Schizosaccharomyces pombe: one gene and its partners. The gene in region 3 interacts genetically with the main gene of each other region. Each region holds a gene or a part of one and is shown on either strand. Other genes may lie near its edges.

Region 1 (5,248 bases), 1.1 Mb from region 3:
AACAACGTTCACCGAATACAAATAATCCTCATTCACATTGACCGGTTCAGATTGACCGTCATTTTCTACAGCCTTTAAATAACTTTTTTCGATGTGCTCCGAGTCTTCAGCTGAAAAAGGTAAAAAATTTTTTGCTTTTTTAATTTCCGTCGGTCCCGTTCTTGATTTCCTAAGCGGTCTATCTACCGCATAGAACCAACGTACCCGCAATGAAGGAGCATCTGTCACAGATCTCGATAGCAAATGACGAAATGACAATTTGGGCGGTTGCACATGTTTCAATGGCCATTCTTCTGAATTATTCATAGCAATTAATGGCTTTAAAGCCAATATTGTAATTTCTTCTTGGTGTTTGCTACAGTGACATAAAATGTATATGGACGGTAATGAACACCAAGCATTCGTAATCCACTGTAAGGAGGAATATGACGGCAAAATAGAGTAAGGCTTGGTACGAACGTAAAATGGTAATACAATGTATAAAATCATATAAAAAGGATAATAAAAAGGGATAAATAAGATTCAAATTTTCAATCTAATGTTATAATTTGGAAATTCAATGTTGTTTATTATTAATTTTTTTTTAGCCACAGGGGATTACAATTAGAAAAAAATAAATAGTAGTAAGCTAGAGAAATAGCCATCAGCTAGAGCATAAACTCAATTTGTCTGTCTCTTTAACATAATTCATATTAGCCTCTTTGGGCAAATTTTAGCCGAACATTACCCTTTATTATGACAGTAGCTCTCAGCAGTAACTCTCAGCTACAAACTTAATAATCTTCGGCAGCTGGGGACCCTTCTTTTTCCTTTTGACTGTAAGCCACCTGCGAACGATAGAATTCTGAAACCTGTTCACTTGTTGTAGCATCCTCCCAGCTCTTGTCTTCCCGAATACGAATGAATCTTGGAAAACGTAAACTGATTCCTTTGTCCTCTTGAACATATCCAATTGCAGCTTTGTAAACCGGAGACAAAGATAAATCGGCAGCTAAGACTTCCCACAAGTACTTAGGCTCAAACCAGACGTCAGGCTGATGCGCAGGTACATCGCTATGAGCATAAAAATCTTTCTTTTTAGATATAACAATGTCTTTAAGTTGATTGTAAAAAGTTTCTAAATGCTCCTCTGAAAAACCAGTCCCGAGTTTGCAAATCGATTGAACTGTTTCGGTATCTGGATCGTAGCAGCCCAAAAGAAAGGCACCATAAACAGAAGTACGTTTACCCTTTCCGTAGTATGCGCCAATTACAATCAAATCCAGAGAATCTCCAACACCAGAAAGATAGTCTTTTTTAACTTTTAGCCAATGCCTGGAACGTTTTGACGGTTCATAATGAGAATCCGGGCCTTCAAGCATTTTGACCATTAAACCCTCACAAGAATCTTTGACAGATTCTTCAAGGAATTCTTCAATGGATTCAATAGACTTTTGATCGCTATGTTTAGCAAAAGTAAAGTCTCCAGTACTTGGTTGAAACATTGAGTAAAGTAGTTTTCGACGCTCGTTGAGTGGGGTTTCCAAAAGAGGTTGCCCATTTAGGTATAAAATGTCAAAAGCGAAAAGGCATGCTCGGACCTTAATGTCCCCAATTTTCACATCTTTCCTCTTTCTTGTTGCAAGTTTTTGAAAAGGTAAAATTTTGTTTTCATCACGGTCCCAACCGACAGCTTCGCAATCGAGAATAAAAGAACGAGCATCTGGTTTTTTCCACTTCGATACAGAAACAGAGATGTCCGGATAGCGAACAGACATGTTTTCAGAATTCCTAGAAAATACATAAAACTTCCCATCTTCGGTAAAATGAACTTGGGCGCGCTCGCCATCGTATTTGTATTCACATGTAAATGCGGCTTGATCAAACGTATTCAAAACTTCTGAAATTTGTTTCGTCGGCTTAGCCAGCATGGGTTTTGTTGGGATTCCAGGTGTTAATTTACAAGTTTCACGCAAAGTACCAAGTCCATGCTCAATCAAGTGAGGAACGATAAGGTCGTATGAAGGCAGTTGACAGTAAACATCTCGAAGAATCTGCTCTCCTTCAATCCTGTCTTGTTGCGAAAGTTTTTCTCCATTCTTATCAGCATGATATTGAGCGGTGGCATTTGCTAATGCTACTAAAATGGTTTTTTCGGCAAGTTGGAGGCGTAGCTTGCCTTCCAAAGCTCGAATCAAATATTTAGGTTCTGCACCTTCACAGGAACTCAATAGCCGCTTGATCACTCCAATTTTTCTATTTTGGGATTGGTTTCCGCTCATTTGAGCAATTTTTTTTAATGAGTCAAATAAAAATGGAATTGTCAGCGCTGCAGGTTTAAACATAGTGGGTTGATTTTGACGGGATGTTTGAGCTACAAGACCAAGATCACCAACTTTGTGAAACGATAGTTTAATCTGTTGAAGCGTTTGCCCTGTAGACTCTCCAATAGCCTTCATTATAATGCTTTCGCCAATTCCTAGCTCTAGTCCCGAGTAATCTGGGCCCAACTAATGTAAAAAAAGACGTTAGTACTGAGAAGGAGAAATCCTTTAAAACCAAACGTTCATACCTTATTGATACTTAAATACACACAGGCCAGTAAATCGCTGGGATGGTCGCGAAGAATTCCAAAAAAGTAAGTCCCCATTATATCAATGATTTCCAACCGTTTGCTAGTATTCTCTATTTTTGTGAATGCTTTTACCATTTCAGCAAATGTTGCATGACCTTTTAACTTATCATTGCGAGCATTGGACTCTAACGGTGGTTCTTTGATTGGCAAAGGTATTGGAGTAGATGCCCCAGAATCGTTGTTACTAGATACGGCATCTGAAGAAGAGGAGGATGAACCTAAAGTCTTTTGCTTTTTTGCCTCAGACACAATATTATTTTCACGCTCAACATTTTGAGTTCCAGTGTCGTCGTGGTTGTTGTGTTTCGACTCGTCGACTAATTTCACTGATTCGACCTTTCTCTTTTCGCTTGTGCTTCTCCCATCAACATTTTTGGAATCAGAAGACGATTGAGAAACCTCCACGTGCTCGCTTTTGTGCGAAGCAGAAGAAATGAAGAAGTTGCTATATGGGTTAGTCAACGTCTGTCTTCTATCTAACAAACCTAATGTCTGACTGCCTTGTCGACATCCGTATGTACTGATTGACTTGTTTAAAACGAGGAATTTGCGAAAATACTGTTCGCATAACAATCAAGTCAACGAGTAAAGAATTTCATAAGATTTGACAATAGTGAGGGTACACCTGAAGAACAAGTAACACGTGTACGATATTTGTAGTTTAAGGACAGTGAAAACGAAACCATTTTTTTCTAAGTCTATATAGATGAAATTAATTTTTATGATTATAACAGGATAATATAAAAGCTATTTATCATTGATATAGTATGAGTGTTCCTTGTCTCATTCATAAATACTATTGACTTAATCAACTCTCTCCCAACGCTCTGTACATCATAAATACAGCTAGAAAAAATGAGAAGTTGAATTGTATAGAAATGCTTTAGTCATACCAGAAATGAACAATTGCCTGTATCAACGAACGTAATAGAAACAATTTGGAAATACATTGCTAGAAGTTTATCAACTAGATTCTAACCATTTAAAAAAAAAAGAAATTTAAATCAACAAAAATTAAAATAAATTCCTAATAGGCTTATTCGCTAATGTGTAGTGGTTTGTAGTTTTTTTGCAAAAAGCTGTTCGCACTTGTTTTTCAAGTGGATTTTGTCCTTAAATTTTTAAAATTTTTCTTTTTCAAATTTTTTATGAAATGTTAATTCGAAAGCAAAAACTATCATAAAATTGTTTATAACCATCGCTTTATTTACAAAACTCATAGTCAAATTTCGACAGCCCGGCATTACTAAAAAAACATGTTACCTGTTACAGGTAACATTCAATATAAACATTCAATTTTTGATTTTTGTTCTTTCTCAGAGAATATACCTCTGCTAGCACTTGGAGAAATTTTTTCGGTTCTGAAATCTTTGTTTTCGTTGAAATCTTATTAGAACCAAGTTCTCCATTTTATATAAATTAACACTTCTTGTCTCTAGGTGGATAAAGAAACGGATTGACGATTCTGTTCTGATCCTTAAATCCATATTTTTATTTTTTGGTTCTGTTTATTTTTTCTTGGGTTTGTTGTGTTTGGAAAAAAACTGGTGTTTAAATATATTAAGCATAAACTATTATAAAACTTCATTTTATTATTTTATCATTCATATTTTTTTCAATTTCGTTTTGAAAATTTTTTATTTAAGCCGAATTCTATTAAAAATACTAAAATGTATCAACGATCTTTGTTTCGCGGTGTCGCTCAGGGTTTAAAGCGCTCCTCTGTACGTTTTCAATCTACCAGCTCTGGCTCTTCAAATGGCAATTTCTTTCTCCGTCATTGGAAGCTTTTGAGTGTTATTGGTAGTTTTACTGCCGGCGTTGCCATTTACGACATGTCCGATGTTCGTAGTTTTATCCATGGCCGCATTGAAATGCCTCTCTTTCATGCTTTCACCACTCCTGAGTTTTCTCATCGTGTCGCCATTCTCGCTGCCTCTTGGGGTATAACACCGAAGGATCGTGTAGCTGATGATCCATCTCTTGCCGTTGAAGTTTGGGGTAAGAAATTTTGCAATCCCATTGGTCTAGCTGCTGGTTTCGATAAACAAGCCGATGCTATCTCAGGTTTGTTGAACTTCGGGTTTTCCTATCTTGAAATTGGCTCGGTCACACCTAAACCTCAACCTGGTAATCCTAAACCACGCTATTTCCGCCTTAAGCCTGATTTGTCTGTAATCAATCGTTACGGTTTTAATTCTATCGGCCATGATGCCATCCTTGCTAAGATTCAAAAGCGCGTTCGCAAATACATTGCTAAGACATCTCCTCAACTATTAAAACAGTTTGATGCAAATCCCGCTTCTTGCACTGATCCCGCTGTCCTTGGCGTACCTCGTAGTTTAATTCCTAACAAGTTCCTTGGTATCAATTTAGGCAAGAATAAGAACGGTAACGAGATTGAGGATTATGTTGAAGGTGTTCGTACCTTTGGTAACTTCGCTGACATTCTTGTCATTAACGTTTCCTCTCCTAATACCCCTGGTCTTCGTAACCTACAAAAGAAATCTGCCCTCTCAACTTTATTGACTGCTGTTGTCAGTGAGCGCAATAAATTGAACTCTCCTCATCCTCCCGTACTTGTAAAAATTGCACCTGATTTGAACGAAGAAGAACTCACGGACATTGCCGATG
Region 2 (4,762 bases), 3.3 Mb from region 3:
GATCGATTTCTATGGCTTTAGTGTATAAATCCAAAGCTTTTTGATAATCCTTTGCCGCAATGGCATTATTTCCTTCAAGTTTTAATTTCTCAGCCTCTTCTTTATTAACATGAGCAGTGGAATCCTCCTCCACTGGATGCAGTTTTTCGTACTCCTCAAAAGCAGCAACTAAACGATCCCCTGACTTGGGCTTAATTTCTTCTGGTTTGATTTTAAAAGAATCTTGAATACATTGAGCTGATTTTGGTTAGATTATCTTAAATGGGGTTACACATACCAGCAACCTCCAAGCTTTCCTTTTCTTCTTCAGAAATCGAACCGGTGGTAATAGCTTGCTTCAAATAGTCAATAATAGCCGCAGTAACTTTGTTAGAGCTCATTTTCCTAATCGTTTTAAGAACCGATTTTTTTCGTATTACTGAAAGTATATCGTGAGATGCGCGAAGGGCAAAATTATTCCAAGCGCCGTTATAGATTTTTATATACGTAAACATGCAAATAATAAAATGAATTTTTGATTCCTAATTATATTGCTATTAAAATAACATTAGATAACTATAGTACCTTTAATGTGAATCATGAACTGTAAAATACTGATATGACAAAAAAAAACAAAAATAGATAGAAACAACAGACAGGAAGCAAAGAAAAAACTAAAAACATATATTATTCCAGGTCCCAGCTTTCTGTCTCAGAATTATATTGAAGGAGATGGAAGGGTATTTGCAACTGTTCAAGGTACGTACCAATGGAACATGGCTTGGTGCGTAAATCATTAGCTGATGTGCGTAAAACAGACTGTGGAACTTCTTGAAGCATGGTTGTAAACTTCAAAGAAAAAACAGGAAATAGCACTTCGACTGCTAATTGCGCAGATTTTCGCCAATTTTGGATTTTTCTTTCAACCACCTGTATCTGTTTAGAATTTTTGTCAGTGTCAAGAGCGAGCTCTACAACGGATAATTGTTCTTTCAAGCCACCAATTTCTAATTCAAGGTTACGGATTCTGTTAATTAGTTTGCTATCCGTTTCACTTGGAGCAGTAGCCATTGAGATAGGCTTGGCACAATACAGCCGTTCAGGTGAGGAAACAGTTAAGCGGGTTCGCGAAATCTTCGAAATCGGAGGATGAAATGGTTTAATGAGAGCCTTTCGTACAGACATTTTATTAACATTCTTAAATGGCCGCGTAATTAAATCTTTGTTGACCCCTGGGTGCATAGTAGATTTAAGAGATGGAAGGCTTCGATTTATCAAAGAGGTAGAAAGACAGACATTAGAATAGTTTGGAGTATTGTTCTCATTGGACAAAATAGTATTTTTATAGGTGTTCGGTTTAATAATATTAGAATGGTTTGAATGATTATTCCCAATTGATAAAACACTGTTTTTGTATGAATTCGGCTTAGTGACATTAGTACGATTTTTGCTATTATTTTCATTCAACACAGCTTCGCCTCTGTTGGAAACCATTTCAGTTTGTACTTTCCCATACAATCCAGTCCAAACATTCTCCTTCCGAGATGCTAGAAGATCGACCCTCTTATGCTTATGGGAGGTAGCAGACTTAGGGGGAGTGTAATCATAGTTAAATTTAATACTTGAATTAGGAATATGCGTGGCTTGTTGTTCAGACTCATTGATGCAAGTTTCATCAAAGTCTTGATCTACACCGTAGGGATTCAACAAATCTTCTTGATGTTGAGATTCAGCTAGTGGTTGCTCAAGTCGACGTGATTGTTTCCGTTCTTCTATTGCCATTTTGTTAATGGTAATTAATGAATTTTCGGAAAAAGTTGGCTCCATATCACTAGGTAATGGAGAAATGTCAAAAATAGTCGGCTCACTAGACAATGGATCTTGACCAGTAGAATCAGAAGTTAAATCAGGGAAGTCTTCATCCTCTCTTGATGGCTCAAAATCAAATTCCTCAGAACAACCATTGTTCCAATCGATATGATGAGGTAACGAGGGCTCTGTATATATACTAGGTTTTATGGTAACCGGAATGACTACAGCATCGAAAACTTTTCTCGGTTTCTTAATCCTTGGAGACAGAGTAGGATATATTTCCTCCTTTTCAGGATACTTCCTCCAGCCTGTAGGTCTTCCCCTTCTTCTTGGCAATCCTTCCTCGAAGTTCAAATCTTTATTAACATACGAATACTTTCTTGGCCTTCCTGCCCTATGCTTCACTCTCGTCATTTCTCTTTTCTTCAGCATAATCAGTGCGGCTTCAGAGTCTGCAAATGCAGGGAATAGATTAGTATCGTCTGTAAAAGCCAAAGATTTAAATATAGGATCGAGATCACACAGCTGGTTCCAACCAAAATCACTTTCCGAATAATTTTGGGTTGATAATTGAGATTTACAACTTTGTGAGCTTAACGGTTCAATAACCTGATTATTCTCGTTAGGAAGAGTAACCAGTGGTTGATTTTCAGATTTATCTTCAAAGTATGCAAAGTCTTTATCATTCGAGGACACATGGCCGCTAATCTCTGGGTGGTCATCACAATGGGCATTGTATTTCACAAAAGAGGGAGATTCAGTTTTTGGATCAGGAGTCGTTGTACAAAAGAAAGAATCTGTGATAAATTCATTATTCATTTCATTTAAAGAAAAATCTCTAGAAAAGGTTCCCTTCATCTGGCTTGCTTCTGTTTGATTCATCGGTTTACCATCAGAATAATAGTATTCTACCGGCTCAAAGAAATGGGATCCAAGGTTTGAGCCGACGCCCTTTCCTTGCTCAAACCTTTCATTGTCGTTAGAGGAAATACTTTCAGATCCGGTGTTTACTGGTATCGACTCCTGCTTTTTGTTCACATTCATAAGGCCTATAAGGTTTCTCACGATTCTCAAAAAGCAAAATTCTGTTCAAAGCAATATACATTTAATAAATTTGCCGGAGTATGATTATTAAGGACATATCTTTGGTGTGGAAATTGTGAAGAAATTTGGACTGAGTATGGTGGGCACTAATTCTTGAAGGAGGTATTCTAACAACCTCTGTGCACATACCACACATGGTGAAGTTATCTTCCATTATAAAAGCCAGAAAAGCTAATGCTTTGGCTAAAAAGAATGACAAAATAAAAAAGAAAGACACTGATAAAGGCATACGACAAAAGCATTCTAAAAAGGAGGGAAAAGATGAAACATTGAAAAGAGACGTAGAAAAGTTTATTCAAAACGTGAATAGCGAAGACACCCCTTCTGAAGATGACTCCATGTCAATGGATGCTTTTTTGGAAGGCGGATTTGAAGAATTAGACTCTGCGAATTCGAATGATGCAGGTTCCTCAAGAAAAAGAAAAAATTTGCCAAATGAAAATACACAAGACTCTACCTCTGAATCATCGGAAGAAGAAGAGGATGGCTTGGAATCTTATCAAAAGCAATTGGAAGGCCTAAAGGAAAAGGATCCAGAATTTTACAAGTTCCTTGAGCAGAATGACCAAGACTTGCTTGAATTCAACGCCGCTGAAACAGACGCAATGGCGAAGGAAATTGATGAGAATGAACGTTTGAAATCTTCTAGCGGAAAAATCGTTCTGACAAGTGATACAATTCAACAATGGCAAAAGCTTTTGGAGACGAACCATTCATTGACCACACTACAAAAGGTCGTGCAAGCGTTTAAGGCAGCAGCATTCTTAAATGAGGAGGAGGCTGAAGATTTGAAATACACTATTAGCGATTCAAAAGTTTTCAATGACCTCTTGTTGTTAGCCATCCAGTACGTCCCCAAAGTGTTGAATTATCATGTTCCCATTCAAGAGGATGCGAAAGGAAAAAAATTTATAAACACTGATTCAAAGGTGCTTCCGAAGCTACGCCCTGTGTTAAAATCCTATGGATTTTCGATTTTACGTTTGCTAGAAGGGATGACCGATGCCAAGAATATCTCTTTACTACTTCGGGAAGCTCAGAATGTATTGCCTTATATGATTACCTATCGAAAATTCCTTAAACAGTTTACACAGGCAACTGTTGAAGTATGGAGTTCGACTCGTGATGACAGCGTTCGGTTTTCAGCTGTTGTATTGCTTCGTACATTATGCTTGACAGCTGACATAACTCTGCTGGAATTCGTTTTAAAAGAGGTTTATCTTGGTATGGCTCGACAATCAGCTTACACTACCGTTCATACACTCGATAAAATTAATTTCCTGAAAAATAGTGCTGTTAATCTTTTTTTATTGGACGCTGAATCATGTTATTTAATCGGATTCCGTTACATTCGACAACTTGCTATTACTCTTCGTAACACCATTCATCAACCTAGTAAGGATTCTCGAAAGCCTGTTCAAAGCTGGAGTTATGTGCATTCTCTAGACTTTTGGGCTCGTTTATTGAGTCAAGCAGCCTGGTTGAGTAGAGAAAAGGGAGTTGCTTCAGAATTACAATCTTTGGTCTATCCTTTAGTCCAAATAGCCCTTGGAGTTATAATGAGTTCACCGTCATCGCAATTATTTCCAATGAGATTTCACATCATCCGAAGTCTAATTTACTTATCGCGCCATACTGGTGTGTTTATCCCTCTTGCACCTTCGCTATTCGAGGTCTTGGATTCTTCTTATGTGTCAAGAAAAGCCAAAGCTAGTACGCTTAAGCCATTGGATTTTGACGTTGAGTTGCGTGCATCTTCGTCATACTTAAGAACAAAGGTCTACCAGGACGGTTTAATTGATCAATTATTGGAACTCTTGAGCGAATATTATGTTTTATATGCCACTGACATTTCATTCCCTGAGCT
Region 3 (3,584 bases):
CATTCAAAAAATAAATATACTAATGGTGTCTTTCCAGGTTCAACTATGTACAGCAACACATCCCTTGGATTTTAAAGCAAGGAACTCCGGAATTGAATTTGGTTTACCAATTAACGTATGCGTTAGTCCAGTTATTGAAACATCTTACAACTAACAAACAAAATTTTATCAAGATTCAGGACAATGTTTGGATTGGTATGGGAGTTATAGTTCTCCCAGGTGTTACTATCGGGGAAGGCAGTGTAATTGGAGCGGGTGCTGTTGTTACAAAAGACATCCCACCTAATACGTTGGCTGTAGGATCACCTGCCAAACCTATTCGTAAAATTGAAAACGAGTGAACGAGTGTAATTTTTTTTTTTATTATTTCATCTAACGATTAAATGCTCTTTGAACTTCTTAAGTTCACCTGGCTTGGTTCCTAAATTTTTAAAATAGTATAAATAATATTATATTATGTTTGAGCTTTAAATTGTTATATAGAAGACTTAGAATGCTAAAAGAAATCCATTTCTCACTCGCCAAGTAGGATCAGTTTCCTCCTATGACTTGCTAAAGCCCCCACGTGGTACTGCAATCGATTTTAATTCTAATGCTTAGCCAAGTCTAAAATAGTTGAAATTCTTAGTGGGATAAGAACTCTTAACCCCCACGATATATTTGAATGCTAAATAACCTAACCTAAAACCATTTTACACATTTTATTACTAACTTCATTATATTCTTGTAGAGGAACCATCCCATTCACCAGTTCTGAAGTCTCGACAACGAAAATTCATAAAATATGGCGCCTGCAGAACTTAAACGACCTGATTTAATCGTTCCCTACAAAGCTAGAGTCAAAGCAAATGAAGAAGGTAAAGTAGAAAGCACTTTCAAATTGAACCCAATCGTGAGTTACGCTGATTTAATCGCTCAAGCTTTAGTTCATTGTGGAATATTTTAAATCCTTTCTTTCGTCAAATAATTTATTAAGTTTGCTAACCCTATTATAGTTGGCTTGAGTTTGGTAAGCACAGCCACGTGTATGGCTGCTTTATTTCTTCGTTTCAAGTATGTAAGATATTTTAGGATTTTCATGTTAACGAGAAGATTAATTGCATGGGTTGCTTTTATCCTAACCTTTTCAAATTTACTGAACGCAAATACGTCTCCCAGCTCATCTCCGACTTCAATGGCTTTGTAAGTAATCCTAATTCATTGCATTAATGTAGTTCTATGGATGTTAACATTTGATCAGTATGGGTATCGCGGCTCTTGTGTCAACATATTTACCGGTAAGTTGAATTTTTATATTTACTTTGTCGATTAACTTGTGCAGCAATTTTTAAATACTCCAAACAAAACTTAGTAATTTTTAAGTCAGTGAATTAATAAGAGTATTAAGCTGATTTTTTTCTGGATAATTAAATTTATGCACAATGTAAATATCTAATGGTGAAGAGTTCAGATACATTTCTAACTACCATTTCAATCACGTAGCAGACGCGTAAAAAATTGGCTGTTTGTGTTTTCTCATTGTTAAGCTAGTGAAAATGTAAATTTATTTCTTACATCCTGTTGCTCTTTCATTTTTTCTTCCTAATGTATTTTAGTTGCTTTTTTAAACCCAATGAGAACAAAGGCTTAAAGTAAATATATATAATTTTCACATGTTCAACAGTTTACCGTTAACAAATGCACGGACCTTGATTATGATTAATGGTTGAATGAAAAATATCAACTTTCCTTATCTTTAACTATAATTTAAATGAAGTAGTAGTTCATTAATACTAAAGCAGACTTGCATTGCAAATGCTGAACATTACTAAAAGGTTGGTCTAGTTATAAGGTAACTGAGCGTGCACTTTATTATTTTAACGTGTTGGGTGCGCCCCATTAATAATGAAATACTGCATATGAGTGAATGGTCCTACTATTGTTCCCTGCCCTTCTCCAACAACGCAAATCGGATATCCTAACTCGGTGTAATTCCAAGGCGATATCGATATTTGTGCAACTTTTTTTTAAAGTTATCACAAATAGAAGAGAGGTTGCTATAAAAATGTCAACGACCGCAAGAAGACGTCTCATGCGAGATTTTAAGGTACGGCAGTTGTGGATCCGAGAAGACTTATATTAACCAATTCTTAGAGGATGCAGCAAGATCCTCCTGCTGGAGTTTCAGCTTCCCCTGTCTCTGACAATGTAATGCTTTGGTAAGTGTTTACCTATGTCAATTCATTTTTCTCTTATTGTTATGCAACGTAATGGTGAATATATGTGCTATATATTGAATGCCTTTTTTGCCATATATTTAGGAAGGAGATCGTTTCAAAATTCTTACAAGAAGCGATCTTTTTATGCTTGTTGGTTTCTGGATTGATTGCTTTTGTTTTTTATTATTGATGTTGGACTAACCATTTGAGCAGGAATGCTGTTATCATTGGCCCAGCAGACACTCCATTTGAAGATGGAACTTTTAAGTTGGTTCTTTCTTTTGATGAACAATATCCTAATAAACCTCCTCTTGTAAAATTCGTCTCCACAATGGTATGCTTAGTCATTGTATTTAGACAAGTCTTAAATTAGATTATTTGATTTGTTGTAATTTACTTTTTTCTTGGTTTTTTTTGTTTACTTACTTATTGGCTTTAGTTCCATCCAAATGTGTACGCAAATGGCGAACTTTGCTTGGACATTCTGCAAAACAGGTGGTCTCCAACTTACGATGTGGCAGCAATTCTTACCTCTATTCAAAGGTTTGCTTTTCAGAAATATTACTTAAATTTCTCATAACTAACTTTTAGCTTACTTAATGATCCAAATAATGCGTCCCCTGCAAATGCCGAAGCTGCTCAGCTGCATCGTGAAAACAAGAAGGAGTATGTGCGTCGAGTACGAAAAACTGTAGAAGACTCCTGGGAAAGTTGATTTCAAGACATAGCTGTCTTAATAATCCCTATTTCATTAGAACTTACTCTTCTTTTTCAACCGCCTTTCACATTAAATCTATTTAAGTGCTTCAAAGTTGCCAAAATTGTAACTATAGTAAATCATTAAGATTTTTTTGTTTACATCTACGAATGAATGATTTCTTCCTTATGTTTAGAACTTGTAAACTATATTAATGTGCGACTAATCACATATACAGACATGTACATGCAAAATTTATATTGATCTTATTAAACATAACCTGCCCTAAACCACACAAAAATACCAAACCAAGCGCAAAAACTCCATTTTTTTAAATACATATGGTCAATTTTTTTAAGTAAACCTCAACGGCTGTTCCCAAAATAATGATTAACGACGTTTCAAATTCTTCTTTCTTTTACGATATGACTGGCCAATTTGAACAGGTGAAGCTAATGAGCCATCGTTAACGTCTTCAAAATTAGCACGTCTCTTAGCTCTAGAAGTCAGGTCTAATTTACGATTTGAAAAGTCATCGTCATGGAATTTGCGATCAAGCAATGACCAGTCTTCACCACCATAATCGTGTTTCTTTACACGTTTAGATTTCTTTAAATCTTTCTTCGATAATTTAGGAAGGCGAGTATAATTACTTTCCTCATACTCTATCCTCTCACGCATTTTTTGCA

Evidence for each region.
Region 1: of rhp6 (region 3) and cdc17, a mutation in one rescues a mutant of the other (synthetic rescue), as found in Schizosaccharomyces pombe (one study listed by BioGRID).
Region 2: of rhp6 (region 3) and swi2, changing one suppresses a phenotype caused by changing the other (phenotypic suppression), as found in Schizosaccharomyces pombe (one study listed by BioGRID).

Annotation. Positions count from the first base shown.
Region 1 is NC_003424.3:1,385,878-1,391,125, reverse strand, and holds cdc17 (ATP-dependent DNA replication ligase Cdc17), read right to left. Parts: upstream 3,242-5,248; 5' UTR 3,183-3,241; coding exon 3,100-3,182; exon of another isoform or gene 3,060-3,099; coding exon 2,552-3,059; exon of another isoform or gene 2,490-2,551; coding exon 774-2,489; 3' UTR 509-773; downstream 1-508. Other genes in the region: SPOM_SPAC20G8.02 (DDHD family phospholipase), read right to left, coding at 1-489; mitochondrial dihydroorotate dehydrogenase Ura3, read left to right, coding at 4,285-5,248. UniProt on the Schizosaccharomyces pombe protein: DNA ligase that seals nicks in double-stranded DNA during DNA replication, DNA recombination and DNA repair.
Region 2 is NC_003424.3:3,628,507-3,633,268, forward strand, and holds swi2 (DNA recombination mediator Swi2), read right to left. Parts: upstream 2,953-4,762; 5' UTR 2,836-2,952; coding exon 667-2,835; 3' UTR 509-666; downstream 1-508. Other genes in the region: SGT2 family TPR repeat-containing protein, read right to left, coding at 1-237, 278-380; noc201 (Noc complex Noc2 family subunit), read left to right, coding at 3,030-4,762. UniProt on the Schizosaccharomyces pombe protein: Required for normal mating-type switching.
Region 3 is NC_003424.3:303,679-307,262, forward strand, and holds rhp6 (ubiquitin-conjugating enzyme E2 2), read left to right. Parts: upstream 1-1,927; 5' UTR 1,928-2,044; coding exon 2,045-2,086; exon of another isoform or gene 2,087-2,133; coding exon 2,134-2,198; exon of another isoform or gene 2,199-2,378; intron 2,379-2,411; coding exon 2,412-2,532; intron 2,533-2,637; coding exon 2,638-2,741; intron 2,742-2,789; coding exon 2,790-2,913; 3' UTR 2,914-3,084; downstream 3,085-3,584. Other genes in the region: SPOM_SPAC18B11.09C (serine O-acetyltransferase activity), read left to right, coding at 38-115, 174-341; protein pat10, read left to right, coding at 785-857, 996-1,053, 1,093-1,182, 1,241-1,277, 1,322-1,351; U3 snoRNP-associated protein Lcp5, read right to left, coding at 3,286-3,584.